Drosophila melanogaster: one gene and its partner. The protein of the gene in region 2 interacts with the protein of the main gene of each other region in a pairwise test. Each region holds a gene or a part of one and is shown on either strand. Other genes may lie near its edges.

What was found.
Region 1: the proteins of CG15673 (region 2) and CG30423 interact in a two-hybrid assay, tested with the Drosophila melanogaster proteins (one large-scale study listed by BioGRID).

The regions. Positions count from the first base shown.
Region 1 is NT_033778.4:24,868,197-24,882,490, reverse strand, and holds CG30423 (uncharacterized protein), read left to right. Parts: upstream 1-6,625; 5' UTR 6,626-6,710; coding exon 6,711-6,726; intron 6,727-6,831; coding exon 6,832-6,832; intron 6,833-6,897; coding exon 6,898-7,153; intron 7,154-7,218; coding exon 7,219-7,326; 3' UTR 7,327-7,515; downstream 7,516-14,294. Other genes in the region: CG44247 (uncharacterized protein), read right to left, coding at 2,775-3,327, 3,389-4,352, 5,194-5,287; CG16896 (uncharacterized protein), read left to right, coding at 7,851-8,131, 8,191-8,304, 8,367-10,782, 10,846-11,001; Atf-2 (activating transcription factor-2), read right to left, coding at 11,083-11,192, 11,246-12,281.
Region 2 is NT_033778.4:21,598,088-21,616,446, forward strand, and holds CG15673 (uncharacterized protein), read right to left. Parts: upstream 14,985-18,359; 5' UTR 14,718-14,984; coding exon 14,696-14,717; intron 11,872-14,695; coding exon 11,692-11,871; intron 10,980-11,691; coding exon 10,567-10,979; 3' UTR 10,306-10,566; downstream 1-10,305. Other genes in the region: CG10433 (uncharacterized protein), read right to left, coding at 7,985-8,106, 8,381-8,530, 8,594-8,705; CG18870 (uncharacterized protein), read right to left, coding at 17,507-17,650, 17,718-18,359.

The DNA of each region.
Region 1 (14,294 bases), 3.3 Mb from region 2:
TACAAATTGAGTCATGCTTCCTACATTTCCGAACGCGAGGAGATGTTTCAGAAATATTTTATTCTGTAAGTTTCCTTAGTACTTAGTAATTTATTTTGAATCAACTTTGAATAAATCACCCAATGTTCACAGTAATTTACAAAACAAAAGAATAGGGAAACTTTATAAAATGCTCTTTTCCTGGGAAAGTCACGGGTACCAAACTATTCCACCTAGGTACAAGCAAAGAGGAGGTGCCCATCCCCACACCGCTGCTCACACACACTCGCGCGCATTGAATGCTCCCTACCAACACACACGAAGCGAGGGGCTCACGTAACTTGAACCAAGCACGCACTATTTTCGCCCATTTCATCTACGCGAGCACAAAGTGTTATATGTATTGTCGATTTCAACAGCGTCTGCTTAGTGTCCAGGTCAAGTATGAGCAATTAATTAATTAGCACACAAACACGCCAGAGATGCTCCCGCATCTTCATTCCTGTGCGGGTACACCATGTCTATATTTGAGGCCCTCACAGATCGATCGGTGGTTGGACGTACATGTCTTGGCGGTACCAAATTAAACTGTAATCAAATTAAACTGTAATTCAATGGACAACGCATGACGCGCTTTATTTGTCACTCGAATATGACTCAAAGCGAGAACTCAATTTCATTTGTTTTCCACTTGCGACACGGAAGCCCCACTACAACCATAAACACACACAGACACACACGAGCAGGAGTGAAATACGCTGCGTTTAGATTCCATATGTTTGGAACGGCCCCAACGCAGCGAAATCGGCACGGAACCACTCCACTTTACATAATGCGCAGCCACGGCGATTTATTATCTCGGAAAATAAGTCTTTTTAGACTTACGTTGGGAACAAGTGCTCGAGCAAACGGGACAAACAATTGAAATAACTGAGCAGTGTGACCGTGCTACAAACGATAAGAATTCCTTCGGACCTGGCAGAAAATGGCGTTATATACCATTTCAGTTTGTAGAAATACCAATCATTGGAAATGGTATTTAACGTTACTTTTTAAAAAGTCATTTACTATAATCAAACAATAAAATGCACAACTTAAATATTTTCGCAGGCCATAGGATGCATCATCTATAAAAACGGTTGCATTGAGCCTTCTCAATCGGTGCAAGCACCTTACAGCGATCTTTAAGCTTTCCTCTTTTATCTTTCCAAAGGACACGTCCAGAAGGGAAATCCCCGGGAAGTTAGGTCCAGATACGTGTTGATTAAAAAGAAGAAGACGCGGGATTTTGGTTAGTTTAGTTTATTCTGTATGCATATTGTATAATTTGTGTGTTTTACGGTTATCATACATGAATAAATATAAATTAAATTATGCTCTTCATTTACAAAGTGTGTTCTTTGCACCTCCGCTTTCAAGTTGCAATTTTGCATTTCGAGTCCTCGCCTTGAGTTCTAATTATTTTCGTGTTTTTGGCCAAACACCATAAAATATATATTTCAAACTCAACATTACGCTCAACGTACATTCATATGCTATGCGCATTTTATTGTGGCTAAGTCAGTTTCGATTTGGAATTCAAATTCAATGTTCAATGCTCCAAGATGCTTTGCATTCGCCTAGTTAATAGAAATATAATATTCGTGTTGTGTTTTCTTTAGCTAGTTTTTGAACTCGCAAGTTCTTCAATTCGGTTGTATTCAGTGTATTGTTTCGGCCGCAATGGTTTCTAACTCTGTCCTTTGCCCAATGTTTCATGATTATTTACAGCAATACAGTAAAATGTTCGCTACAGTTTCCTTTAGTAGTTTTTGGGGCTGGGAATTGTTTCCGCTGATAGTTTCCATTAATAATCTCTCACTAATAGGTAAATAAATTGTTTCTTCGTATCGATTTCTCTTTTTTGTACAATAGACGCGTGTTCTTTTTGTGTGTTATCAGTCGTTTTTCATTTACTTTACATGAATGTGCAGGGAAATTATTGTTAAGTTTTACTTGTAAATAATCCTCTCCTCCTCTAGTCGCGTCTCCTGCTCTACGAAATATATTTGCATGCGCATGCAAAAAGTTTGGATGCCGGAATTGTATTTCTAAATTGACACAGATAATTTAGGATCGATCACAAAGCGTAGTAAAAATGAGAGAAGATAGTACACCACACAGACAGGTAAGTAAAAAGGTGTCCGCCTTCGTGTATATAATACAATAATTACATGAATATATATCTATATATAAATATGTGTGTATGTATACATATATTTATAATAATATAATATGTTAGTTTGCTTCGGTTGGTTGTCCCTCCTCCTAAGCTCCTCAGCTTCTCCAGACCGTAAATCCAACGATTCGCAGTGACAAAAAAAGTTGATATACAATAACCCACGCTGCCATGCAACACAGGATTACGCTTGCCGCATCGTAATAGAATCATCAGCGTTGTGCAACTGACAGCGGGTGGAAACTGGGCGGATGAGATTGGGATTGGGATTGGGTTCGGGTTTGGGGTACTCACGGTTTACTGGAGCTATTCTTACTGCATAGCAATTACATTACATTACCGGACTTATGCATATATAGGGAAGGAAGAATAGTGACAGATGTGTGTAGTGTCGTGTGTGTGGTTTGCTTGGCTCCCGGAATTAAATTCCCTGAAGTATCTGTAATATGCGTAGATGGCTCCCAGCACCTAGTCTGGTCTGTTTTTGAATCTGTGTAAGAGGATGTGTCTGTTGGCTGACAATGGATCAGTCAAACTTTACCAATTGCCCCAAGAGGGAAAACAATGTCCAGTCGCCTTACTTCTTGCTCTTGCGCTTCTGCTTGGGCTCCTCCCCTCCGGTCGCTGAGGCTGCTGATGCGGCTGAAGCTGCTGCTGCTGCAGTGCCCGTTGCGTTCAGGAGATTTATGTTCGGCTTGACCGTTCCCTTCTTCAGGGTGGCCGGCTGCTGGGGGGTAGCCTGCGTGATGTTGTTATTGGTCGCTGCTGCCGCATTGGCAGCTCCAGCGGTTTGGGACGACAGGTTGTTTGACGGCGTGGCCGGCGTCTCGTCCAGGAAGAGCGGATTCTTCACCTCCATCTCACCAGTGGGCGCCAGGCCGGGGCACTCGTACACCGTGTAGTCGCCCTCCTCGTTGTCGTCGTCGCTCTCCACGTCCGACATGCCGCAGCTACCATCCGTGGCCTGGTTCTCCATGGCGATGATCTGCTGCTTCTGGTGCTGGTAGTGGTACATTTGGGCGCTCTGGGCCAGCTTTCTGTCACCGGACGGCGAGACATCCTTGTTCGGCCCGGTAACGCCGTAGGCAGGGTATTCCACGTCCGCTGCTGCCTTGTGTCGATTATGGAACCTGTCAAGATATATTGGTTAGCTCCTGGAACAGGCATTGGGAGCTTCTCTGGGTTACTTACCAAGTTACTCCGAGGGCAAGAAGCCCAACGGTCACCGCTGCACTAACCCCCGCTATTAGGGCCACTATGTACACCCCCATCTCGCTGTTCATGCCCAGGTGCTGGCGCAGCACAATCTGCTCCTGACTGGAATCACCTCCGTTGACCAGCGTCAAATGAGAGGGCGCTTTGCTTTGCTTTTGCAGCTTGTTGATCAGTGCGTTAAGTTCATGGGGTGGTTGTTCTTTGCTCTGGGGAATATTCACTCCCGCCACGGCTGCGGCGGCGGCGGACTGGGGATTGATGCGGTGGAAGTTGGTGTTGGCGGCGTCAAGCAGTTTGGGCGGCTCAACGGGCACGGGAGCCGGTACTGGCGTATCGATCTTGGTCTTACTGGCGGTGGTGGCTACTTCGGTTGTGGGCTCAATGGGAGCATACTCCTCGTAGTCCTCCAGCGCCCGGGAATCCAGCTCCCCCGAAGGGTCGTTCGGGTTGTCAAAGAAGCGAGCGTCGCTGGGACCTACAGCAAAGGGAATCCGTTCGCGGAGCACACTGTTCCTGTTCGGGGAGTTGCCCAGGCTGGGCCGATTCGGAAGGCTGGGCAAGGGTGGTAGGTTGGGCAGGCGAGGCAGGTACAATGGAGGACTTTGGAGATCAGAGACTGCCTCCATCGGACTGCCGTAGCTGGCCTCTGCCTCCGCGTTGTCGTACTGGTCGTACTGCTGGTTCAGGTTGTTTCCGTTGGACTCGTAGTCCTCCTCCGCCTCGCGCTGTACCTGGAGCTCCTGCTGCCGCTGGCGGTACCGCTCCTGCTCCAAGAGCTGCCGCTGACGATCCATCTTCAGGTTGATTTCGTGCAGCTGTTGGTCGAACTGCTGCTGCAGCCGACGGCGGGCATACTGCTCCATCATCTGGGCCAGAAAAGCATACTCTTGCTCACTCTGCGGATCCATCACAGGCGGCTGAATGGGTCGGCGGCGCAATCCTGCAAGAATTCGGATTCGAATCGTATCAATGTCATCGGATTAGTGGGCACGGGCAGATGATTATGGTAATGGTAATGAGCCTGGGCTGCGTGTTAGGGATCGGAAAATAGAAAGTGAAATCGAAGTCGAAATAGAAATAGAAATAGATGGAATGGCCGAAATGCGGTGGTCTGCCTCCTACAGCCTTAAAGGATTCGAAATAGACAAACAAAAGTTCGTTTTATTGCCAGAGGCTAAAAATAGACCAATTACACACGCGCCCAGGTCAACCCGAGCAATTCCCGCAGAGTGAGGGAGACCAACATACAGTCGGAGGACTGGGAACCGAAGTCTGTGACGTGCGTGGCAATTCCATCGCACTTTGTTGTTTTCGTCGTGTTCAGCCCATTGTTGCGCTTGTATCAAGGAAGTATTTGTTATAGCTGTTGGGATGAACGGAAAAGCTTTAAGGCGCTTAAATGTATGCTACGAAAATCGTAGCTAATCCATATTACATATATTTATACCAAATGCATACATATGAATGTAAATTTCGAGTGGAGAATTTCGTTATTACCACTTATGTGTATTTATGTAGTTACGACGCTGCAGTTGGCTTGACTTTTTAGTTTTGCCGAAGCAATGAGCGTGGGTGTTTTGGTTTGATTCGGAGCACTTCGCAGGACTCGCCATGCATGTATCTAGTGCAGGGGATACACAAATCGAGGTGGCAGCTTTCCTTTCCTTTCCTTTCGCTCCTCCTGCGCCATTCAAGCCCGAACACTCAGGCTGCGTGTGTGGGTACATGGGTGTACGGGCTTATAGGTGAATGGGTGTGTAGTGCGCTATTTTTAGGCTTACCTGGGTAAACGGACATTTCGCAATGACCCAATATGCTGCACAGTAGCGTTGCAGCGAGCGCCAAGCTAACGGTGATTTCCAGGCGAGCCGCCATCTTGCACTTGCCACCAAATGCACTCCCACTTGCGGATTTCTCGAGACCTCAGAAATCAATTTCGAATGGGAACTATCTAGCACTGCACGACCTCTGCCACCACTGCCATATGGCCGGTTAATGGGGCTTTGGCTAGAACGACGACGTCGACGAGGGTTATTGATTTTCAACACCCACACTCGCACACACTTGCGAATATATCCAATTGGCAGCTGCTGGTGGTTGCTCCCCGAACTTTTGCACTTTCGCGTGGGCGTGCAATATTTCTGGCTAGTAACCTGCGCCAACTGCACTTCTCGAGGATTTTTGGGGGTTATTAGGTGTCCTAGCAAAGGTTATGCTGCACTCTACCGGGTGGTTAAAATGTCAAATGGTGCACTTTTCTCACAGATTGCTGGCGAAGAAGCTCAGATGGACATATGGCTGTGGGGATATATGCGGATGGGACTCGACTCCTGGGCTGCGTTGCTCCGCTGTCGACGTATACCGTTATACTGAAGAAACTGAATGAGCCTGGCGGCGGCAAAAAGCCCGAGAAGAAGCAGAAGCTGTGACGCAAATGTTAGGTTCGCCCCCGCGCTGTTAAATGTTGCGGGCAGCTTTTGAGGGCAGGCCGCGCAGCAACAACAACAACCAGAGGGGCACAGTAGTCAAAAGCAGCGCATGCGCACAGTGGGGCTGAAAAGCTCGGCACGTCCGTTCCTTTATTCTTTGAGTAAACACGGGCATTCATAAAGAGCCGAGACGAGGCCAAGGAGACTCTCGGCCAGCTAGCAGGTGGCTGCCACTCACGAATTCCGAAGCCCCGTCAGCCAACTCCACGCCCGCTTTGGGAGAACCCTCCCTTTCCTCCAGCTTCCTCGCTTGGGATAGGGCGTGCTTAATTTTTATCAATGAATTGGCAGCCAAAGAGCTTTTCTCACCGGCAAAGGACTGCGGGAGTTATGGTAGGCCGAATAGTGTATGTGTAGCATTGGTCCTGATGTCCGAATCGGTTGGGAGAAATACCCCCAAGTGGATCTCGGATTCTTACGCGAAATGATTTCGTAACAGATTATCGGGGAATACTCATCTTTTCCTTGCTTTCTTTTCATTGATTAGTCGTTGATAAACGGACTTTTAAAAGACATTTAATAAAAAAGCTTTTAAAAACTTAAAAACCAAAGGTAAGTCCTTTAATAAAGCATTTCATGGAGGTTCGGAGAAAATTAGCATATAAATTGAAAATACATTTAATTAGACCTGGAAGAATTTAAAATCGAATTTAATAAATTATTTTTAACGGTATATACTAGAATCGGTATATTACGTTTAAATAATTTTGAATGGTCATGTTTCGGTCATACTGATGAACTGGTTCATCTGGAACTACACATCTGAGTCATTTTTAGGAGCGACAAAGGAAAAATTATAAACAAATACAATGGCCACCTTAAAGGGTAATTATGCACAACAGTCTCTAGCAAATCTAATGGCTTACATTCTTCGCCTACATCAACACCAACTGGAACCCGCTACACGCCTCTTTTGAAACCATCACACAGCGTATGTCTACAACTACACCCACTCCTGCAGCCAACCGTCTGATAATGATTCCCCTCTTTGTGCAGCCTCTTCATCTGCGCCTTTCTTACATGCATTGGTGTTACCTTCCTGATCCTGGCCTGCGCCGTGCCCACGACAAAGATTTTCTATCCCTTCTTCGTTTTGCTGTTCTACGTGCTGTCAGTTCTTCCAGTCTTCATTGCCAGGAGGACAACTCCTGGAAATGAGACCAATCCGAAATCGGAGTTTGCTCACTTCCTTACCGCGGGAATGGTGCTGAGTGCCTTCGCCCTGCCCATCGTCCTAGCCCACGCATTGGTGGTAAGTGGACACACGGAGCTATTGGGATTTTAAGAGTGTTAAACACGCGATGTCATTCTTAACAGATCACCTGGACGGCGAGTATCCTGACGATAATAAGTAACATTATTAACTACGGCACCATCTTCTGGTACGCCATGCGCGATGACGAGCCATACGGATCCATGTTCTAGAGGGGATTTGTAGTTCACAAGCTCACTAGGCTAGTAACCGGCGCAGGAATATCACCGATGCACTGGGTCCTAGGGTTACGGCCATTTATCCGTAAGCACGCATGCTGTTCGCTTATCCGCAGTCATCAACAAATCTCATATAATCAAATGTATCCAGATAAACGCAAACAAAATAAACTGACGTAGTAGACATTGTCTGGTTCCGGTTCTTTTTGCTGGTTCGATATCGATATCTAAACCACTATTCCATAAGCAGTAATTCTCTCCACTGGCGTATCAAGGAGGGATTAGCTCTCAGTTTTCACTCACTTAATTGAACTGGAAATATTTATAGTCGAAAAAAAATAGCCTGGATGGTGTTCATTTGGCTGCACTGGAACTAGGAACAAGCATTCAGTTGTTAAATATACAAATTTGTAAATATCCTTGCTGGATAAATGAATAGCGGTGTGGCGTTCCTTTTTTCATTGGCGAAAGTACACGTCCTTTGACAAATGGAGTTACACCTCATTTGAGCCCATAACATGGACAGGATTATAAAATCTGAAATCAAGAAGGAACAGATCACGGGTATTCCTTCGGTGGCCCTTCATGGCATCGAGAACTCGATGCAGGACGATAGAGATGTCAACACTGACGTGGAGGAGGACTTCACGGAGGAGGAGTTGGAGCTATTCACAGATCAGGATTCAGACACGGGAGATTCTGATGTGTCGCTCACGCAGCCTGAGGCAGCGCGCAGTGTGCTTTTGAGCAATGCTCCTATGCGCAAGTACCCTTTTAAGCTGAAGCAAAGCGAATCTGGGTGAGTATGCGCTCTAGGCACATTGCGGAGTTGTTGCCAACGAAGTTTGCGAATTCCAGGAACGTCCTAACCGTTCACCACACGATCAAGGAAGCAGGTCAGGCACTGCGCATCCAGATTGCCGCCTGCTGCTTCAACGAACTTAGCAACAAGCTGGTGGTAATAGACAAGCGGTAAGGTTGACAGGGGAAACAATAACGTAATACTCTTTTAAACAGTCTTTTTTATTTCCCAGTGGCAATGTTTTCGTCTTTGACTTTGTACGCAAACGCTACTGGCGGCTGGGATTCCGGATGCCCAAGGCCAAGCTCATTCGGCCATCCCCTCTGCACGGTAGCGACTACATTGTAGGCAATAAAACGGGCCACATTTTCACCATAGACGTGGACAACTCAATTCTTGGGGTCGACGGAGAAGTGGGAAGCGCAGCGCTTGAGGAATTGAGTTGGAGCAATAGCCTGCAGAATGCACGCTCCTCTATCGCTCTGATGCGTTTCGGCAGCGATGCACTTCTGGTGAATCTCCATACTCTGGAGGTTTCCCATCAGCTGGATTTCGATCAGTCGCGCTACACGCTGAAGTTCGCTGCCTTCCTGCCCCACTCGGACCAGTTCTTTATAGGGTTTTCTAACGATTCTCTGCATGTGTGGTCCTCGCATTCATTGAGCACTTTGCGGATGGGCCAGCCTATCAAGGCCAGGAATCGCAAACTGAGACTGCTACCAGCCGCAGAATCTATACCGGAAATAGTTCTCCGAAGCCCGGATGACAGTGACTTGGAGGAGGACTTGACGTTTGACTGCCAGCACTACGACTTTGCCGATGGAATGCTACTCAGCTACTGCTTCACCCCCGACGGCAACAAGATGTGCCTTAGTACCTTGGATGGCTATCTTTTATTGCTGAGCGTGGCCTCTTTTGATCTGGAAAAGATGTACCGCTTGACGGACTTTACTCTCCACCAAATGGCTTTCCTCTCGCAGCCAAAGGAGCGCATAGTGTTTGGAATCACCACCAGAAACCAAGCGGTCATGCTGGATTTAGCCAATACGGATCACAAGCTAATTGTGCAGCGCTCCAATGCACGAAGTTTGAGTCTGAGTCGGGATGGCAAGCTGTTGAGTGTAACGTCTCGCTGCGGAGAAGTCAATGTGTGGTCCACGTGCCGCATTTTTAACGCCCTGCAAGCTCAGATCCGCTGCCTCAGCCAGGTGAAGTCCACTTTCAAACAACCGAATCCTCTGCCGCCCTGCAGCGTCGGTGGAGGCGTTAGCAAAGAACTGCGAGATCTGCTCAATCCGCAGCGCCTAAAAACCATGCTCAAGGAGTACGGTTGCTATCCTGAAAAGTACAGGTACCTAATTTGGACATCCCTCTTAGACCTGCCCTGCAATGGGCCTCAATTCCAGGAACTGATCAAACTGGGGGCACCTCTCCTGGTCAGAAATCGGGCCAAGAAGCTTAAGATTCGCAACGATCACCAACGCCGTGTTGTGATTAAGATTTGGAGTTGCCTTGCTCAATGGTGCAAGGTCTTAGCTCACGCAGATTTTATGCCACACCTGATTTTTCCGTTTGTGAAGCGAATGCCCAAGAATAGTCTGGTTTGCTTTGAGTTAATCGCTACCCTTGTATTGAATCATTTTCAGCTGTGTTTCGAATTTCATCCGCTGCCGCCCTCCAATTATCTGGCCATGTGCGAAAATATCCTGCAGCACTGTGACGAACAGCTTTGCAAGTTTTATAAATCCCAGGAGATGTTGCCTAAAGATTTTGCCTGGCCCCTTCTGAGCACTGCCTTTTCCGAGGTCCTTGAAGAGGAGCAGTGGCTATCGCTGTGGGACAACATATTTTCGGAACCACCCTGGTTTCCAGTCTTTCTTGTAGTGGCCTACAATTTGATTAATCGAGAGATAATCTTGCGGCTGCCAGACAAGCGATCAGTCCTCTTCTTCTTCCACGATCAGAACCCTGTGGACATCAGCAAACTTCTTTCCAAGGCGCGCAAACTAATGTCCAAATGTGCGCTTGCACTTCACCCACAGCGTTTCATGACACACTTCAGCCCCATTCCGAAGGGTGTGTATCCAAAGTTTCTCAAATATCCCAGCGAGTGGATCGATGAGCAGGAGTATCAAGCAGTATCGTTGATCAAGCACAACCAGGAAATCGATGCCCGAATTCGCCATCTTGAGTTGGAGGAGGTTAAAATTATGGAACGCCTTGAAACAGGACTTAAGCAAGAGGAGCACGCTCGCCGCCTCAAAGAAATGGAGAGAGTTTACCAGGACACAATCCATCGCGAGGAAGAGCGCATCACCTGCCAACGGAAAATGCTGCTCACCTACCAAATGGAGGTGCGTCGGCGCAAGAGCGAGGTCATCACTAAGTTACAGGAGTCTGAGCAGCGACGCAAAATTCTGGAGATGGAGAAGGACATGGACCTGCTGATGCACAGTATTGAGCGTGAGCGTCGGCGTCACAACCAAGAAATGCAGCTGGCCGAAGATGAAATTCGTAACCAGGAGATGGAGCTCCTTGCCCAGCGCTACTACTCGGATACGGAGGGTGCTCCACTGGCACAGAAGTATTACGACAAAATCCAGAAACTTTGCTATCAGCGTGATCAGCTGCAGAAAAACTTGCGTGATGTATGTGATAAAAGATTTTAGATTGTATTCTGTGATCTCCTAAGTCTACTTTCTTCCGAACAGATGACCATGGAACAGCTGCGAACTCCAGCAACATCATCTGTGCAATTTAGTCCCCAGCTGGTGGATATCGAGAATTCCATTTTTGAGATACAGAGAGAGTTTACGGAAATCATAACCACAGACAAAACATTGGAGTACAGAAGGAATTTAACTTAACTGAGGCTTTTTTGTACGAATAAACTACAAGGCTAGGATTATGTACATGGCACTAGAAAATAAATAAACAAGGCATATTGGTTATTTCTTGGCCGCGCTTGCGTTGCTGGCGGACGAAGGCACTAACACGTTGGGCACATTGATGAGCAAGTGTATACTGGATGGTGGAATCCGCAGCTGGTCGGCCACCACTATAAACGAAAATAAATTAACTTAACTTCAGGAATGGTTTATTAAAGCTTACCGCCAGCTAAGCTGCTGTGACTCCTGTGCTGCTGCAGTTCCTTTTCTAATCTGGAAATTCTTTCGTGCAGTTCTTGATTCTCCTGCTGCAGCTGGGCGTTCTGTTTGATGAGGTCCTTATGCTCGTTTCGCATCTTGTTACGGTAACGAGAGGCTGCTGCTCTTCGTCGCTCCATACAATCCTCGTCCCGACTGCGATCCTTTGCTTTCGCAGCCTTGGGCGGTGTGGAGAAACTTCGTCTGTTATTATTGCTGTGGATAATGGCCTTCAATCGCTCCTTGATGGGCAGCTGTGAGGTGGGCGTCAGACTGGCGCTACTGGGCTCGTTATTAGGTGGGTTGCAACTGACCAAAATAGGCTCGGGTCTTTTACTGGTCTTGTTTAATTCTTTCGCAGTGGGTTTCGGCAGTATGAAGGGATGAATGGCACCAGTCGGCTTCACCCTGTTTCTGTTACAATCAACTGTAGCGATGGAAATGGGAACTGACTGCGCAGGCAGCACCCATGTTAGGACCTGGGGCTGGATCAACTGCAGCGGCGGCGGACCATCTTGACTGGCTTTGGAAGGCGAGGTAACTGTCGTGGCCAGAAGCTGGTCCACATCCATATCGCCGCAGCTGACACTTTGTGGGACCTGATTTTCAGACGGAACTGATACCACGGTGGGGGCCTCGACGGGATACACCTGGGGCGTGTGCAGGGACTCACCGTCATTGGGTCGAGCCTCTGGGCGACTCGGAGTGCCGCTGACATTTCGCTCCGCTGCTTGCTGGAATCCAATGTCAAATGGATTTACGTGCTGCAGGTCCTCGAAGAGACCCACCTCGTCGCAGTTCTTGATGAGTCGCGTAGGCGTGGGCGTTTGGTCGGCGGCAAATAGAGTGTCTGACTTCTGCCCGAGAGAAATGTCTAGCGAAACATGTTCCGTCTGTGCCCGAAAGTTCTGATAGCAGGATACGTCGCCCTCTGGGGATTTTGTCTCAAAGTCGCCGAAGGACACACTGGCCAGGTGATCCATGTCTCCGGCGGTGTCCATGTCAGAAGTTACATCAAAATCATGCTATTTACAAATCAAACTCCATAATCTGCCGACAATTCTCAATTAAAACAACTATTTTGTAAATCACATTAGCAAAACAAAAAATAAAATTGTTATCGATGTATGGATGTGTTATTGAACCTATCGGACTCCATTAAGAAACCAACTCTGGCTGCAGTGCTGGAAAAGGTACTAAGTTCTTCTGCCGTAATTACGATGTAAAATGTATTTTATTACTGGTAGAACAAAGATCATAACGTAGAACTTAAAATAAATCAAATAAATACTGAATAATCTTCATTGTGTAACAAAATAAGTAAAGGAATTTTCAAACCTCGATATAATGTATATTTTATATGTTGTTTACCTTAGCACAGTAGTGATGTGTGCAAACCGATATATCGATACCGCGAGTGGGTGCAAAAAAGGCGCGCGAATGTTTTCAATTTGAATCTGGTTACCAATAAATACTGTGTGTAAAAAATACCCCTCTGTCATGAGACCCTTATTATTCCTAGCCTTTCTGTGTTTGAAGCTGTTATGCAACCACTCTTGACATTCGGCATTTCCGCAACGAAATTGCGTATCTGCCATCGCATCCAAAATGCCAAAATGCGAGTCTTCGGCACGTAGAAGCAATCATATGTGAAGAAGAGGAAGGTAAAGCGAAGAAAAAACATCGAAACATTTTTGGTAGCCAAGAAAACCCCATAATTTAAAATTTGTATCTTTTAAATTAGATTTCTCATTGGAGGAACAAGCAGAAAACAGACAGCGGACAAAACAACACGCAAAATGATTTCAAGCCGCTCGCATTTTGGGAAATATGCACGCAACGAAACGAGCAATTTTCTAAAACTCTGCCGCACAAAAAGCAGCAGACTCGACTTGTGGGTCAAGTTCAGTGCTTAAATTGTTCCCAGCGAGAAGATGGAGGACCCCTTCCGGCCCTCGTCCTCGTTGTTCACCACCACTCCAATCCGCTCCGTTTGCGAGGAGGAAGGGCCGCAAGATGCACAGCATGAAAATTAAGAAAAAGTGATGCGTAATTACAGTCATTCTCTTTCACTGCAGCCAAGCGGGCTATTCCACACAGCCATACCCTTGGCCATGTCCCGATCTCGATCCCATCCCATCCCATTCCATCCCATCCCTGCCACGTTGCATGCAACGGACGCGCGTTTTTCGGACAGCGTGGTCCATGGTCCATGGAGCTATGGGATGGAGATGGGTTCCGATCCTCGGCTCTGGATTCTCGTTTCTCGGACTGCGCTGCTGCCGGTAGAAACAATCAGTTTGAAGTTCGTTCGCATAATTATGGGCAATTTTCAAAGAACATGCGTTCCGATGAACATCTCTCTCTTGCCCGCATTCAAAGTATCCATACCCATCAGCTCCTTTTCCTGCCCCACCGCCACATCCTTTCCATCATCGCACTGCAACCTCGCCATTTTTCTTACTGTCCGTCGGTCTCTGTGGTTAGGATCAAGTGGCTGAGTGCACAAAATTTTTTTCCAAACTTGGAATAGCTTGCGATCAGGCTAAAGTAAAGCTTGAGAACAAATGTTTGAATAAGTTCCATAAGAACTTGAATTTTATTTGAAAAATATGTAATATAAAGGTATAGCAGTCCTCATAGTGATACATTGGTATTTAAGACTTGACCAGATTAACCATTCCATTTTAGCAAAGACACGTTTGGCATGACCCTAGCGTTGGTTACCAACTTGATGATCAGGTTTCTGGCCCTAGGAAATTTGCAAAGGAGTCAAGGACCGCAATTGGCCATAACGGCATGTGCGGCCTACAGGATCCGGCTGGTATCCAGCTCAGAGGATCACACTGTCCTTTCATAAATATTCAAAAACGGAGTTCCTCGAACGCCCAACATTTGTTTTCCCCTGCTGCAAGTTGGCTTTCCCGCTGCCATTTGGACACTTTGTTGGTTTGCCATTTCCCCAGCGGCAGTTTTGCATATAATTTATTAAGTTTGGCTGCCTCATTTGGGGT
Region 2 (18,359 bases):
CGGCATTTCGTGTGCTGAATGCAGGATAATGACTTGTTGCATTGCCAAGCTGAGCGGTTTGGCAGCTGCCAAGGCTCTTATCCTGGCGAACGGCAAATAAGAAGTCTTAGTTACACCCATCAATGTTCCGAATTCAAGTCAAACAAGTAATCAAATTTAGACTATTTGGATGGCTCTTCAGTCACTGGATGATGTGCTTCATCTTTGTCATTTGCTGGTCTAAGTTCGGCATTCCGTATGTATGTATAGAGAGCCAGGGCACAGCGCCATCTACTTGCAGAACCCACTCAATTTCTGCAAAGTTGCAAAAGCAATTACTTTTCGTTACAATTTTTGTGCTTCGTAAACATTTAATTTCCAATTTTAATTTGCTCCAATGCATTGCCACACACACACAGAGGCGAGGGGACGAGGACGAAGGACGAGGCGGCTGAAGAAAGGAGCAGGAGGCAGAACCAATCGTCATTGGGGACTGCTAGCTGAGGTCCTGCTGCACCAAAGGATATGCCCTGCACTCCGCTCCGCCGCCCGGACTCATATGGCTTGGGCTCCGTTTCTCATTTACATTAAATAAATATTGTACAATTGTATTGAGCATCTGGCAAAGGTGAGTCCCAGTCCGATGAAATGAGCTCTGACTCCGGTTCCGGTGGTAACTTCATCTTACGAACTGCCCTCGCCCTCGCCACCGCCCACATGCCACTCGTGTAAATATTCCCAGAAAATAAAAGAATTTCATCTGACATTTCATTGCTGGTTCGATTTATGGAAAATGCATGTTGCACATGCTTCGCTCTGCTTGCAACTTGCACTGCACTTTGGCAGCATCGAAAATAGCCGAAATATTCAGATCTATATCCCTTCGACACATACAAAACCAAATATCAATTTCAATTGGACACCTGGCAGAGCGGTAGTTTACTCACAGACATGTAAGACAGTCCTTGCAGACTCACTCACTCAATTATGTTGTCCTTCAAGTACTCTATGAGTTATTAATTGTGAGATGAATATATCCTACACTCGGTGCCGAAATCATGTATTGTTCAAATATTTTTCCTTGTGTGCCTCTAAGCCGCCGCTCAGTCCTGATTGAAGTTCACTTTTTCCGCACCACTAGAGATTTGTCTTTTGGAAACATACAGTTTTTCCTGGCATTTTCTTTAAATTCCATTTTTTTTGCCATGTTTTTGCAGTTGTCCTCGCACACAAGTAGACACGCACTAACACATACGATATCCTTTTTAATGGCTCAGTGGAGTCCTGATCCAATGACTTGTGATGTGCAAATGTTATCCTGTCTCCCAGGCTGTCTCTATCCGTCCGTCCATCCGTCTGTCTCCGCTCTGCATGTGTGTTTATAATTTACTTTGCTTTCTGACAAAAGGATTTTAAAACAATTATTTTAATGTTTTTCCCACACACACACACACATATATATATATATATACATATTTATATACAGGCAAGCAGGTACAGAGAAACAGACATTACGTCGAATTGAGTTGGTTTCATTGGGAAAATGTTAAAATGTCGAAATGACTTTTGTCAATTTTTGGCTTTTAAATGCAATTTTTCTCTTCATTTAACATTGGCTCTGTCACATATAATTCGGGCCAAATCGAAAACTTTATTTAATCAAACACAAGCACAAATGCAAATCCAACAAAAGTGCAATGTAAATAAATACAAAAAACAGGCTGCATTCGATTCGTGTTGCCTGTTTTTGCATCCACTTGCGGTATTATATTTCGCAAAATTATCCACAGTTATGTAAATGCCATTTTTCTACAATTATTTATCGAAGCGTTAAACAAAATACACAAATTAGATTATGATCCAAGTCAAAGGGGTCATTGCAAATGGCGAAAATTCGCAACTCAATTGAATTTCGACTCAACTAAATACCAAATGAAATGATTTTAAATTACAGCTTTAACAATGCGCTACAATGATAAATGACTCTGGTGATTATGGTGATTATGGAGAATGAAGGCTCCTTCGCTGTAATCGCAATCGCACAAACAAATCCCTAAGTAATTCCGCAGAATGGGCAAACACTTGCAGCGGTTTCCAGTTTCGAACCCTATCAAGATGGCAGCGGATGGCACAAAAGTAAGCAAGTCATTAACATATCGCGCCAATGAAAATGCAAATGCAACACAAATTTTCCAGCCAGCCAGGATAACTGGCTCTTGCTCCTGCTCCCTGGCAGGACTTGGCCCGCCTGGATGACCGCTTGTCCGGTGGCTCATTAAAATGCGCTGCCATCTTGCGAAAGTGAAAAATTGCCCGGCCAAAGAAAAAGTTGAAAGAATTGGAGGGAGAAGTCGTGGCAAGCGGAATAGGTGAGAGGAAAAAATGGAAAAGAAAAACTTAGTTGAGCTCAAAACGAATATGGAATACCCTAAAATCTTGGCTTTATCACAACGAAATACAAATATTTCCACGCAAGTTTACTTACCTTAAACTTATAATAAGTATAAGGAAATACATTTTTATTTGGTATTAGCAGTTAAATTTTATAGTTAGTGGTAATACCTTCTTCCCAAGAACTACTTACCCCGAGCAAGGATATTTGGAGAAGCACAAGCGAAACGGAAACAAGGGAACCGAAAAAATCCTTAGCGGCTATTGCAGTCGTCCTGCGCGAAATGTAGGAAAACGAACCTGGCAAGGTGCTCCACTTAACTGCGAGCTGCTTGTTGTGGCAATTGTAGTGGTACATTTACGCATTGTTAGCACATCGTAAAACAAATCTCATGAATATTACACAGATTTGTCTGCCGCTGCCCGCTGTTTAATGCATTTCCAGGATGAGGAGTGGTCATGTTCTTTCCTTGGCTGCGGGTTATTGCCAGAACGGAATCCTCAATGCCGTAGTTCAGTTTAGCCGGAAAGGAGAAGTAGATGGTGGTGGAGAGGGTGAAAGCTGGGAAGGATGCCCTCCCCCCCCTCCTGCCATCCTGTCCTGTCCGACGAGCGGTGCAGTCATGTGCAGGAATTAATTTTGCGATTACGCGTAATTACAGCCCGGAAAAAAGTCAACAAAGAAGGACGCGGCGCTGGCAGGAGTAAAACTTAATTGCGAGTAAGTGTTGCTTAATACTTATTATCTGCACTCGCGCCTCCGCCCCTTTTGGGGGCGTGGTGTGCGGAAGGCGCGGAGGGGGAGGGGGGGCGTGTCAGCGGCATTGCCGAAACTTAATTGTTAGCTTGCCGAAACTTTTCGACGCGATATTTAACCCTTTACTTTTTGTTGCTAATTAAAAAACTTTTGACGGATAAAGAGGCGCACAAAAAATGAAAAAGGAGATGGGCGGAAAGCGAAAATGCGACATAGATATATGTACATCTATATATATATATATATATATTTGTACGTATGGCTACGCGTCGGTTGTTTACACAAAAGCAATCATACGCCACGTTGCCCCGCCCAGTTAGCCCGCGCAGCACTGTCGTCACTGTCAACAATACGACATCAAGGCGGATATCCAGGCATTCGGTACTCTGACTGCTGACGTTTCGTTGAAGTTTCATTAATTAGATAAAACTTTCTGCCATTTCCCCCACCGTACATTGTTAATGACGCCAGCGAACGAGCTGCAAATTATTTGCACACAACAAAAGTCAAAAAGTTGAGCGACTCGGAGCTGGCGATGTTTGAAAAGAAGTCAGTCAGCCATGATATGATGATATGCCATAAGGCCAAGAAGGGGATCATTTTTGGGCAAAGCAAAGGAAAACTTCGCCCACCTGCGGCATTTTCCTTTTTATTTCGCCAATAATGAGAAAAGTCCAGAAAATTAGGTTTCAATTAAAACGGAGGCAAAAGGGTGCACAAGCCAAATCAGTCCGAATAGAGCAAATAACCGAAAATAAAAAAGAAACCAACCCGTTTGCCGTATTCAGTGAGCTAATCAAGGAGCTAGGTGGTGAGCAAAGAAAAACCGGAAACGCCGTGCCAATCAAATTAAAAAAAAAAAAAAAAAGGACCACATCAAGTAACCCCGGGATGGGATGCGAATGGGAAAAGATGTAAGACATGGATGAGTTCCTGGGAATCCTGCGGAAGATGAATTTTTAATTTGTTGCTGTTGCTTCCCGTTTTAATTGTTGTTGACAGACTGAGTGACTGGCTGACAGCGTAATTTACAATCCTTTCGCCCCATGCCAGCTTAGAAACTCCGCCCGAGCCACGCGAGTGATGGAAATTTTAATTAAAGAAATTGCGGCTAATCCCGTTACAAAAAATGAAGATTCCGCCCCAGGGGCCAGCACTTCACTGTGGCTGCAACATAACCAAAAAAAAAAAGAAATTTCCAGCTAATTGTGCGGGAATTTCAACGGGGGTAATACATATAACCCCTTCTATCCATCAACAATCTACCCATGTACGCATGAATATGGCATTTGTATATCTTGCATACATCAAAAGGTGGAACGACATCTCCGGGAAAAATCCTTGCCTCTCCGGCTTATGGAAACATTTCCAATTTCACTTTCACTTTACTCGCTTTTAATGGTATTATCCACAAAGGGGGCTTGTTGTTCAGGTGGCAGGGGGTGTGTTGTGGTTACCCACCACCCGACTCCCTTGTATTTGTCAAAGGATTTTGAGTAATTTCATTTTATGCCATTTGCACATAAATTTGCATCAAAATTTCAAATTCGTAAGATGGTCGAGGTACCACAATGGAGCACTGTCATAAAGTGCCACTTAAAAGTTAGGTCCCATGACTAAGCACATCTAAAACTATTTACCTATAAGTTAGTATCTATAAGAAATATAAGAGTCACATTTTTATAATCTTAATGACTTCTTTAAATTATGTCTGCTTTTACTTACCAGATTAAGTAATATCATTAGTTGTGCATTTGTTTTATTTGCAATTAATGTTCTACTTTTGAAACATACTTTTCGAAATCACTGTTTGTGTGTGGTTAAGGAAAATGTGATGTCGTGTTGACATTGTGCGGACCATAAAACCGGGCTTACCTAACCCAAATATTTGGCAGCAAACAACGCAGAGCTTAACCTGTTGATCCTGGCCAAAAACGAGTTTAAATACGTGCCAAAAAAAAAATGAGCTAACAAAATAATTGAAATTTATGGCCAACAGCTGCTCTCTCAAAGCAGCTTCCATCACAATGGAATGGCCATTATTTCAGTTATATTAAATGACGGAGTATTTGGACGCCACAGCGTCAGCTGAATGTTCAACCCCTCATACATTTTATTGCGATGAAGGAAAGATTCTCAGCGCATAAGAAATTAACTTAAAAAGTCATTTTGCCGGCAAAGGATGAGCTGCGAGCCAGGGGAAAAAAGGATTAATTGCATGAGGAGCTCCACCGAAGCACCCCCCCGCCCCTCGACGACCACACGAAGTGCACGCGGCCGTGAAGTGCATATCCTGGATTTTCCATAAGCCATTGACTTGCCACATCCTTTTGGCCAGGCCCAGGATCCAGGATACATCCAACCAGCCAGGCAACCAACCAGCCAGCCATCCAGTCAGCTCGGCATGTGTGTGCTCTGGCGGATCCGTATTTTTTAATAGTGTTCCGTGTGCCTCTTGGCGTTAATTTATGCCACAAAATCATTTTCTTTTATACTCTCCACACTACCAGCCACATGTGAAAATAAAAATTAAAAAAGTGCAAAATATAAAAAGGCAAAGGACGAAGGAGCGGAGTGCGGCGGAGTGGCATGGAGATGCAAATTGCGTTGCACTGGCCGCAGGATATGAGACGCAAACGCCAACGCAGTTTTATGTCAAGTGAAAAATAAGTGCGAACTATGACATGAAATATGAGCGTATCTGAATCTGAGCCTTATCCCCCCACCCCCCCGTAATCCCACCGACGCCCCAACGCCCACTAAAATGCTGCACACAAAATTTTATTAGTTTCTCTGTGTGGCGCAAATGCGACACAAATAAAAGAAAATAAATCGGGATTAGCTCGCAAAAATGAAATCGAAAACGTAAACAATTGCAAAGAGTGAAAAAAAGCTAAAAAAAAAAACGAAAAAAAAGCGAAAAAACAAAAACACATAAATAATTTATTATATGCCGTGCCGCCCGGTGATGATGAGCCGCCCTGATAAGCCGTACATGAAAAAAAAAAAAACAAAAGTACCTACAAAATATTACGCCAAACTCGACTCGGCAGCGATCGGATCGCATCGGCTTGGGTTTTTTGGATTCGGATTCGGATTGGGATTGGGTTTTTGGATTGGAATTGGGTTCGAGTTCGGGTTCGGGTTCAATTGGCAGCGATTTCTCGGACCTACTGCACAACTTATGCAATCTAAGACGCAGTACGGCGCTTTGATATGCGCTGATTTACTCAATTGTGCCGCATATGAATGTGTGCGAGTATGTATATGGCATGGCACATAGTACACATAGTCCGGCCGGAATGCACACGCCTTGATTCCGCTCCATATGCTGATATAGATCGCGAATAGTGTCCGGACAAGGCCGATGGTTTCACTGTCACTGGCATTGGCTGGTTAAGTGCCATGACAATGAATTCGATGCAGCGAGAGTGATGCAATGCACTCAGTGCAAGGTCAGGATAGGTCCGTGGCATGTGCCATCTTCATTCATTCAAAGATACAATGTGGAAAGGTAGCTTGCCTTACTTGCTTCACCCTATTCCTCTCAATAGGCTAATACACAAGTATCTGAGCGATGTTTCTGGAACTTCGGTTAATAGTTTTCAACTTCATGCAACAGAGATTCGTTTAAGAGCAGGGAATATGCAATTATACCATCAGAATTCGATTTCAATGGTTCATTAATCATGCGCCATTTTAAAAACCACTCATAAAGTGTTCCTATACTAATTAAGTCTTATTTCATTCACGTTTTCTGCCACTTACATTCCACTACGCCCCATCGATATAGACACATGTTGGCGCCTCAATGCCGCCCTGCATACGAATTCATTCAACTCAAGAGCGCTGGCCAAATCAAATCGAACTAAACTTAAGTGACCCCGTCGAGTGGCCGACCGCCCAACTATAAATAACCGGGTGGAATAAGCGTCCAAACATTAGCAATGAAATCATGCAAACCGAAAGATACAGATACAAACAGATATCGGGTAGTACAGAAAAGCAAGGCATGCGCGGCACATGGATGTGGATGGTATATGTTCGCGATGCGTGGCAAGGTCGTTTCGTTTATTTCGGTTGAGAACTGTTTGGAAAATATTCCAAACTGTATTTATAGAAGGCGGTCCAAGGATCGAACTGATTTTCGTGTTTTGAACTTGACATTGAATGTTGGCGGAGCGATAAGCTGTTGTTTTCAATTGCCATCTTCATCTTGTGATTCACACTGGCCCATCATCTCTGGAATTAGTTTGTCGATGATGCGGCTATTATTGTTTTCATTCCCAATCCCGATTCGGGGCACTTCGATCACCCAACTGTACTTGGGGCACGTGACGGCCGAGCTCCGCCAGATGATAAGGGTTTCAGAACTGGGGGCCGTCAGCTGATCATACCCGTATGCATATACTTACATAATCCTCAGATACGTGACCGTTCGAGTGAGTAGAGATTTGTTTTGGAAAATATTTACAATGCATTTATTGGAAGCAGTCAAATATTTCACATTGTGGGTAGATTTGGGGCTCTTAAGATGTCATACAAAATTATTCGTACAATATAATTAATATACATATAGTTAAATAAATACATGTTTATGTACGGTGTGTGTGTGTGTGTATGTGTACAGAGGAATGACACAACCAAATTAGTTTCAATCCGCTCAGCACTCAATTTTGTCAAATCAATTTAATGTTAGTGTTGTCTAATATTTTTCGAATATTCTAGAAGTCTCGAATATAAACTTTAGGTATTCAAGAATTGTCACTCTGACTTGCCCAACTTGGAGGCTATTTTGTTATCATTTGACGATGCTGTTCCTCTGCACGGGTATGTGTATGGTGTGGTTAAGTATAACTAAATCAGGACGCAGCAGACTTGGCCATTCTTGCAATCCGAACCGGGTCGCAGGAGCCTCTGGTGGCATCGGTCCATGCACTGTCCCAGGTGTTCCGCACAGGGCGCTGGTCTGACCGGCACTGCAACGGCAATGGGATGACGTTTGACGTTTTCGAGGGCGATGGGACACACAGAATGGATCGGGTTGTCAAGGGTTAGTGGCGATATTCGGGTAATTCGGTAACGATGCCAATTTGATTGTGGTTAGATTTTTAGCGATGCGAAGCAGGTGTTGGGTTTGATCGGACTGATGGGGTTTTTTAGGATTTTTGGGGATATTTTGGGGATTGTTTGGGGTTTTTGCAGGTTTTAAGCAGGATGGTACACACAGCAGAGAGCCAGCAATCTACTCACGTTCGTAGCAGCACTCCACGCCCTCTCCGGCACTCGTGGGACACAATCCCTTGTTCGAGGTGGGTTCGATGCAGTCCGACTCCGCGACACACAGTCCTCCGACCATGACGCACTGTCGGTCATTGGGATACACACGCACACCCTGCAGCACTGCGATTTGAATGGGTTAAGTGGTAGTTCGCTATGGCCGCCTGATCCACATCGCACACTTACTGTAGTAACTGGGGTCATTCACATCGTTTGTCTCGATGTTGGCCTGAGCCTGGTGCAGCACTAGGATGCTGCTCACCAGCAGGCAGCACAGCAAGCTCCTTCTCGGCGACATATTCGGCTATTTGGGGATATTCGGCTGTACTACCGGGCGTATGCGTGATACGTTTTGAATTTCGTTCTGATTCGCTCTGCTTTCAATGCACTTCACTCTGGCAGCTTGGCAGCAGCAGTAATCCACTTCCTCTCGATGGCGCGGTTTGCGTTGAACTGATCCCAGCTAATTACGCCACAGAGGCTTTTCAACGAAAAATTACTTTGCCGACGGAGACGGGAGAGCAACAGCGCGAGAGGGAGAAAGAGCGAGCGTTTTTGCACAACTAGACGCGGAGAAAGAGAAAGAGACGGAGCGAGCGGAAGATTGGGACGTAGAGTGTGAAAGGGCGGGGGCGACGGGAGGAAGTCGAGGAAGTGCCGTTCAATTGAAGACCGTGAGAGAGTTTAGAAAATTGACCAACTCCGATCGGCTTCGGCTTCATCCGCTTCAATCAGCAACGCTCTTGAGTGCACACGGAGAAAACCAGAGCGCGTTGTTACGATTATTGTTGTTATTAGCTTGTACTTATCAGTGGTTAATATTTAACATCTATAAACGCGTTTCTACACTGGAAAAAAAATAGTAATGTAAAGATTATTCGTTTTACAGCAGCGGTGATATGCATATGAAACAGAATGCATAATGATGATTTAGTATAGAGAGCTCTTCTGTTATGACTAGCACCGTTGACCCTTTTATCGAATGCTTTTTACCATTAGCTTTTAAAGATAGTTACAGCTTTGAAATTTCTCGCGGTGCACTGGAGATCGCCCAATGAATGGACCCACAATCAAGCGCTCAACTCGGGCGACCAATCAACGGGGCAATCAACGACCATCGGCGCGGAGCAGGCGAAAGAACAAGAACCGCATTGAGCGGGGCGTAACGTGATTTTACTGCAATCCGATCTGGTTTGGCACAAACATCTAGCTATCATCTTGCTCTGCCAGCGCTCAGTTCTTGTCGGCGGTGTTTGTGTAATTTTCGAAAACAATTTGTGTGAAATATGTGCGTGGAAAGTAAACAAACGCCGAAGAATCGAAATATTACGCATACGCGGTGTGCTGGCTGTGCCCCAGAAACAACAACAGGTCTGTTTTGGGCCAGATGTTACCTTCGCTCGATCTAAACAACGGCGGCTGGAAAGAAATTGAAATTCACTGGAATCGATCAATGAATGAACCGAACGCCTGACCCTGAGCATCCAAATGGCAATGGGAGGGGGAAGTGCCTTATTTATGTTTGCTTAACTTGCCCCATTATTTGGCCAGCGCAGTGTTCAAACAAACAGTGTTTTCTCTTGGATAAACGCACGGCGAGCACTTCAACTCCAGATCACCTGATACTGAATGAAGGGGGTTCAGTTTCAGGCCTTGTCAATCCCAATCCGTTCGCATCAAGTGTAAGTTAACATCAGAACGAAAAAGCTTCCCCCGAACGCTTATCAGTACTCAGTTTTGAATTCGTTTCCGCAGAAAGCTTTCACCCGAGCGAAACTAAATGGTTTTGGTCTACGGAATCTGTTTGCTCGAAAGCTTTTGCCAAGCAAGTTGCCAGATAACTTGCCCCCAACTTTGAATATTCCCCATAAGCCCCTGATTAACTGGAAAGCCGAGTTCTTGGTAAACATTTAGCAAACATCCCGTTGGATGAATCATTTACGATATGGCTATGATTTATTAAAGTTAATTACTTAATCATCTAGTTTCAGTTGAACTGGCATTTGAATGCATATGCGCACACAGATATCTTTCATTGTCAGTCTTTTTGTGGGGATCTTACGACATCTAATACTTGGCCCTTTGCCATAAACAGCAAATATCACAGAGTCGGAATAGTAAGGCCGGATCCAGGGATCCACCGTCGGCTTATCGGTTGCTTAGTCAGCGGACTTCTGCAGTTCATTGACGATGATCACATCGCAGGTGACTGCGGCTGGCAATGGGTTGGAAGTTGGGGGCGGCGTACCCGACGGTGGTGCACCCAATTCACCGGCCTTGTTGCTGAACGGTATCACAAACACGCTCGTCTTGGCCGCGTGCTGCATCTTGATCACCGTATCGTAGCTGGGAGGCGCAAATTCGCTGTAGGATGGCGAGGGCGTGGGTGGTGCCCTCAGACCCTCGGTGGATTGACCTCCGGCGGGACGACGCCTCATGTCGCGGCATCTGCGATCCGAACAGGCCATCAGCATGAAGAAGGCGGCCAGGGCCAGGAAAGTGGCCACATACCACACAATCGTGATCACATCCATTGCCGTCTGGGACAGATCGTTGGGCGACTCGACGACAGCTGAAAGTGTTAGGTATTAATTAGTTTTGATCGTGACTACTATAGGGCTTATATCGCAGCCAAAGCATAGACAAATCTCCCCAGTCTAATTGAAATATAAGGTCCAGACTCTATATGGAAATAACTAGAATTGCTAGAATTTCATCCCAGCAGCAAGTTATCAGTTGGTGCTGTTGTGCTTCTAGTCACGAATTGTGGGTCTGTGCTATAAACTTTATGACGAAACTGCTCGACTGCAATACTTGCGCGTCATCGAACTACGCTAATGGCTTAAATGAGCCCCATTGATAGGGGCTAACCCTAGTGGCGGGTATATAGTAATTAGACGGGAATCGTTGTTGATTGCCGGTTTCAAGGGTCCACTGAAATTAAGATATTACCGGTGGGCGAGCGTTACAAGGGTTACAAATGTTTATGGCAGTTGAAATGGCCTGTTCAATCGATCTCGTTTATTTTCACTTTGTATGGTACTCAAGTCAATTCTACTACCAAAGTAATCAGTGACGTTTTGTAGCAAATCTTATCGATATAAATCAATTTAATTTATTCTTTAACATTAATAAGACTCTAAAAATAAGTGGCTGAGTGGCTGACAGCCTAAGTGAAATAGAAATGATTGAACGATTTACTCAAAGTATCTTTTTCTATCTAGCACAAAAATCTTAGTCTGATGCCTCATGCACATTTAGTATTGCATCCTTCAGATACTCACTGTTCTTGTAGACAATAATCCGCGTGTTGTTTGAGATGGTGTCGGGAAACAATTCCACCTCGGTGGTTCCGTTGGCGTTTGTCAAGTTGTAGGGCAGTGGGCGGGCGGACTCGTGGAGAACGTTCTCCACGCTGAAGAGATAGGACTGGCCGTCTACGCAGCACGAGCTGGCGATGATTACTGAAAGGAAACAAAACGGCCACGCCGAACCAAACCAAACCGCACCGAAACGAATCGAATCGAATTGAATCGGAATGAGGCGGAAGGGAGGGGAACGGAGCGAAGCAGACAAGCTGTATTAGCGATATTATGGTATCAGGAAATCAAGACAGAGCGGTGAGCTCACTGATAGCTTATCATCGCCACTCTGGGGCGTGCGAACGAATGGATCTTCCTCCAGGTGGGAGTGATCAAGTCAAACATCTTCATCGGCGACTGATAAGGAATCTAAATATAACCAGTGCCAGCAGGGTGTTCCCCCCCGTAAATGGATCGCTAAATAATCTCAGCCAATCGGGCGACTAGGTTTACGGCCAAAGCCACTTAACGATAAGGCCCTCAATGACGACCCGGTGTCTGAGGCGGCTTTTGGGTATATCTCCAGCCCTGATACGACTGGAGAAGATCTCTAGTCACTGCGGCTAGTGGGGTAGGTGTTAGTTCGTCCACAATGGTCGGGCATTATCTTCCTGGTTGCGGTTTGCAAAATATTTTGACGCACCCATCACAAACACAAACACCATAAAAGCCAGTTAAGCTGCCGCCAATAAAACATGGCTATCTCATTTAAAGCCCATTCGATGAGTTGGCAACCAAGTTTGCACACTTCTTTGGCGGCGGCCATATTTCACCATCGAAGGTGCGTTCCCTCTTGGATCGGGATGGATGGCTGGAGACGCACACGGCACACCATCTTTATTTTGAGACCAAGTATCTTTACAACGCCTGTCAATTGCGTGTAATTACCTGATTGCGCGCCCATCACTTCGCTATCAATTTCACCACCTAGCTGATGAAATTTCGGTCGTACGAAATCGTTGACCTAAGTTGGAAATGTGACGACGAGTCTCGATGAGAGCGACAGCTGGTCAATTCCATGAGAAATTTTTGTAGCGCCAGTCCAGAGGAAAGTTGCGCAACTGACTATGAGATAATTCATACGCCCCGTTGTCTAGCCAAAAAAATGTAATTGCTTCATAGATACGAAAGGAAGGTGAATGAATTGCAGTACCAACTCATCGCCACAAATCGCTTGATCTTCTTTTATTAGTAGGAAACTCCGTTCTGGAAAAAATTAGCTGAATGGAATCGTTGTGCTAATTTCTGACAACATTTGGATTCATCTAGAGTCTAGATTCTAGACCAAATGGTCATGTGAAAGCACAGATGTGGAATCTTTCTGCTAGTCGAAAACAAATATTTTCCACGCTGATAAGACCGAAAGGCATCTTCGGAGCTAACTGAATGTGTAACCAGGTAATTAGGAGCAGACCTGGACAACCCTGCTCCACTTCTGCACGCACTACAAACTAGATTAAAGCACTTGATATGTGGCCGCTAAAAATAACTGCCAAAGCTAATGTTTGACTGCGGGTTATTCTTGGGGTTGAGTTTTCAGTCAACAGTGGATAATTGGCGGGTAGATCGGGTGGGTTCGCTTATTTATAGAGTGTCGAGTTCGTGGTGATAAGGTGGCGGTAAAGGAACGCATGCAAACACCATTGGAACGCCAAACAAAGCGAACCCAATGGAAGTGGAAAAACAAGCGGACACAACAAAATATAAGCAATTAAATTCTAATTAGCCACTAATGGCAAAACGTGCTGAAGTCAACGTCAGCAATTCCACTTCACTACTGCGTTGGCACCTGTGCAAACGGAGCATGGGCCATTGGACATGGTATATGGGATATATATTGTTTGGCCCGCATGCCATGTGCTCGCTTGGCTAATGTATCGGAGCTGCAGATAGGCGAACTCCAAGCGCCTTGAACCCGCTTTCTGCTCAAGAAATCGAATTTCGGGAATTTCCGTGAGTGTTTGCCATTATGCCCGAGTTGGGTGGCTTAGTTGAGAGTAGAGTATAGCGCTTTCCTCATAATAACGTCATTTATCATTAGCATTTGGGGCTTGCCAGTGACTTTGGTTTAACCGGTTTTCATAACTTGCGGGAAAATTGCAAGTCGAGTAACCGCAGCCTCACCCCCTTTAAAAGTCCCACTTTAGTGAAATGTCAACGGAACGAGGGGCTTTTACTTTGATTCGCTTGGATGATATTTACGGGGCGATCACATGTCGGTTAATGCCGGCTATCACAACTTATCTAACGGGCTTAGCAGATGACGGTATCGTAAAGACATCGTTAACTGGTTTACGACTACGACGTCTGGATGGAGGACCAAGATGATATGGTCTTGACGCCAGAAGTTCCTCAAACAGACGCCACAGGCTATAATGGTAATTGCGTGTGATAATACAAGCTTAATAGCTATTAAGAAAATTGTTCTATGGTTTGTGGAAGCACAGTTGCTCTTAGGAAACTATATCTTTCGTACTGAAACTAATAAACAGCTGCTCAATCAAGTCTCGATTGTGTTTGTTTGTAGGGGCAATCAATTAATCATAATAGAACGTTTAATAATATTTATGAGGCTTTAATGCCAGGCAAACCGTCACCATTTACGCCAAGAATGAATTAAGCAATCAGCGGTGATATTTCCTGTTTTTTTTTTTTTATTTTAAGCATAGCTTAGAACGACTAGTTCTATGGGATAATTGGCCGTATTATAAAGAATAACTTTCCTACACAAAACGCGATTTCACAGACCCATTCAAACATTGCCTCCTATTGAGCATTATCGGTATACATATATAGGTACCTGCAATCAGCCAGAGTTTGTGGAAGTTCACGTTCGCATAATTAGCATATGCTTGTTTGGAGACTTGCTTGTTATAACGATATATACATAGGTATAGTAGCCAGAGAAGGCCTGTCCCAGACTCACCACCTATCATAATGGGCCACATTGTATGGATCCGGCTGTGTGGCATGGTGCTGTTGCTGCTACTGCTCAGGTAACTCGGAATGTTGTTTGTTTTTAATTCACACACTTGTCGGCTTGAATTGCAATCAATGAATTTCCATAAATCGTTCACTTCACTGAGAACTGCACCGGGCAATTGGAAACGGAGGCGGGCTGGGACTTGACTTGGACTTGGACTTGATTTGGATGCGGATGCGGACTGACCGCCGTATCGAATCGATCTTTCAGCTTCAACTGTGTGTCGCAGACTGAGCGCGTCGCTCGCCATGTCTACAGCTTTTAGCCGGAGCTGCTCTTGCTGCTGGTGGTTCCATCGCTGCCAGCGTCTTTGTGTGGCCCCCGTGCGTATGAGTCACGCGCTCTCCGCCGGGCGAGAAAGTGTAGTAGTGATTCCAGCGATTGGCGGAACTGGTTAGAGCAACGTATATAATTGCTGGCCAAAACATCAAACAATGCGTTCTGAAGGCGGAGGTGCTACCACCGTTGCCACCGCCAAGCCCATGAATGATTGGAACGTGGTTCCGTTCGGGTTCTCCGACTACGATTGTTTCATACAAACCCCCTAAAAAGAACCAAAGTTTAATTTTATAATGATTTTATTTTATTATTTTATATATACTATTTCGGCTAGTAACCACGCGGATAGAAAGCATGAGTGCATAAGTGAGAATTGAATTTTAAAATTAATATATCATATGTATATCCAAAGTTACTAAATATTTATCTTGCTATTCGAAAATAATCTTCTTGCTGCGCAGTTTATGCAAAATATCATTGTGAACTGTAAAATTATCAATGTTAAAGAAGTGACAATGTGTCGCAGATAAGGAAAATGTGATAAGAAAAGTTAATAAATTATAATCAATGTTGGTTGTTTATGCCCTTTGTGTGTAGGTCTTACATGCGCGCTTAAATTAACAAATGTTGCCTTTTCACCTTTAAGAACATCACGAATATCGGTTAAGGTAAGAGCCACACCTCAATTTGCAGATCCTTAGTTACCTTGGTTATTTTTAAAGCTTAAGTTGGCTTTAAAAAAACTGCGAAAGTGGCCCAAAGAACTCTCTGCTCTGCTTAGGGTTATTTTTGGGCGTGAACTCACACCTACACGCCCCTCTGCGAGGTGCTAATACGCTGTGTGAATTTCGTGATCCGACCAAGTGGAGTCGTCAGAAGAAGATGGAGTGAAATTTCTAGGATCCCCCAGTGGTCTGAGATTCGGGTGATGGATGGTGGAGCGGTCAAACTCCTTATCAGGGTGCTTGACACAAATTAAGGCCAATCTATGAGCGACGGAGTGATTTGAGTTCGACCCTGAACTTGATGAATAGATCGAGCGATCGATCAATCGATCGAGCTGCTCGGCTCGGCTCTTTTGTGTGCGTGTTATAATTGGCACCTGGGCGTTATATATAGAGATGTATCCATGGAGCAGCTACCGGTTGCCAAGAGAGCTGCACATTCGCTAATTGAATGGCATACTGCGACTCCAAGGCAATTGGACAATTGTGGGCCGACATTGAACGGGGGCACAGATTGGTCAGCAAATTGTCTCGCAGCTACGATGGCAATAACCAGTTTGGTCAATTGTGACGAGTCAACGACCAGGCGACCCCAGCACGTGCCACATCCAACGCGATCCATCCACGACATGGTTGGTAACAAAGTAAAATCTAATTCAGAACAGTAAGCGGACCAGCATTGATTAGCCCACGATATGACGCAGTGGCAGTAACGCAGTTCCTCTAGTCGTGACCAAACGCCGATTGCTGGGCAGATGAGTTGGTGATGCGGGGGATCGGATTGCCGGTTCGACAGGTTATTGGATAAGGCACGTGCTGATTCACGATGTGTGTCACCATGTGATGAAACCGACACCCTGCAACTGGGGAGGCTAAGCGAAGAGTGAGGTAATTCCCAGCCGCACTTTCGCCACGCTCTGCTGAGATTTAGTTGGTTTATTTATCAGTTAATATACGTATTTGAGTGAGTTGCGTGTGTATACATATGAGTTAATTGGCTTAAGACCTACTGACCACTAGCCCGAACTTTCAGTTACATTGCAGTTACATGTGTGGAGTAAATACTGTAGTTCGTACATTATCTTGTGAGCGTATGCGCCTACATCTTATACTCGAAATTGAACAATTGACACTTTCGGCCAGCACACAACAATGACATCTACAAGCGCGTGGTATTCTATGCGTACAAATACATAACATATACATATCTATGCAGTACAGAAACAGGTACAACTATGTGGAATGCTCGGCCCAGTCTTGGCTGGCCCTTGGAATATTTACGCTAGCTAATATAGAGACTAGTACTGTGTGGCTTTCGCTTTTGCTTATAAATAATTGATGCTTAGGTAAATAATTGATATAATTTCATTGAGTATGGTAATACCAGTGAGATTTCATCAGTGAGTAAACAATTTGCATTCGCCAAAAGGGCGCTTTTAACAATTACAATACAGTTAATCAAATAATACGGAGAGTGGAACAATATAAAACTTATATATATGTACAACAGTAAAACTGTGGAAATTCTCGGGGAGTGTATTCTGGAATTTGGTTCAAAGTGAACACATCGAGAAAGATGTTTGATCGCTAATGCTAATCTCAAAACATAAAATCAGTCCTAACATATTTACATGGATTGCTGAACGGTTCAGATAGAGATACAATTACCTAATAGGACTAATACAACAAGTGTGCGATACCAAGTACTTGCTGATCTGGCACAAAGCGGAGCGACACCCGTCGCGGATCTTTATCTTTCCGGGAACAGGGACTCATAGCTGGGCGGTAGATCCTTTGGCGTGGCGGGTTGCTGTTGCTGCTGGGTATCGTGCTCGTGCAGGACGCTATCATCGTAGTGCACCGATGGTGGCAGCTCAATGGTGGGCACATCCGACTGGAAATGTGATTGGTCATTTGTTGCCCATGCAGACTTGGCTCTGAAGTAAGCTAGCTATACTCACTCTGACTCGACGCTGATTGAAGCGGGCAGCGGAGGCTTCGTGCGCCCGTTGCTGCACCGTTATGCAGTTCCAATACTTCCAGCAGATCCACACACAAAAACCCACGCCCACCATGGTAAAGATGAGCGAGGTCAGCGCCGATATAGCCACATTGGCCGTATCGATCTCCGGCACAATGGCGTCGTGAAAGCAGGTGCCCTCGTCGCGGCACGGATACAGGCAATTGGTGATATTGTCCCGCACAAAATGACGCGAAATGCACGAGTACTGGTCGTTGGGCTCGCAAAGGAAGTCTCCATTAAACTGGCACTCCGAGTGTGCCGTTAGCACCATGCGCAGCTCCAGGGGATCGCCTAGTATATGACGCGATCGATCGATAAATATGTGCACGTTGACGTCGCGATCACGCTGATCGAAGATCAGACGTCCCGCCGGGCCATCAATGGAGATGTCCGTGCAAATGCGTTCGCTGGGCGAGCGATTGCCGCTGCTGAACTGAATGTAGTCGATGCACTCCTTGGAAACGGGGTCGCGCCGAAACTTAAGCCGCGTAATGATAGTGTAAATGCCGCGTCGCGGTCGCTCGCTGGTCACCACCCTAAACTGGCAATCGTACTTAATCTTGTTGGCCGTATGGCCGTG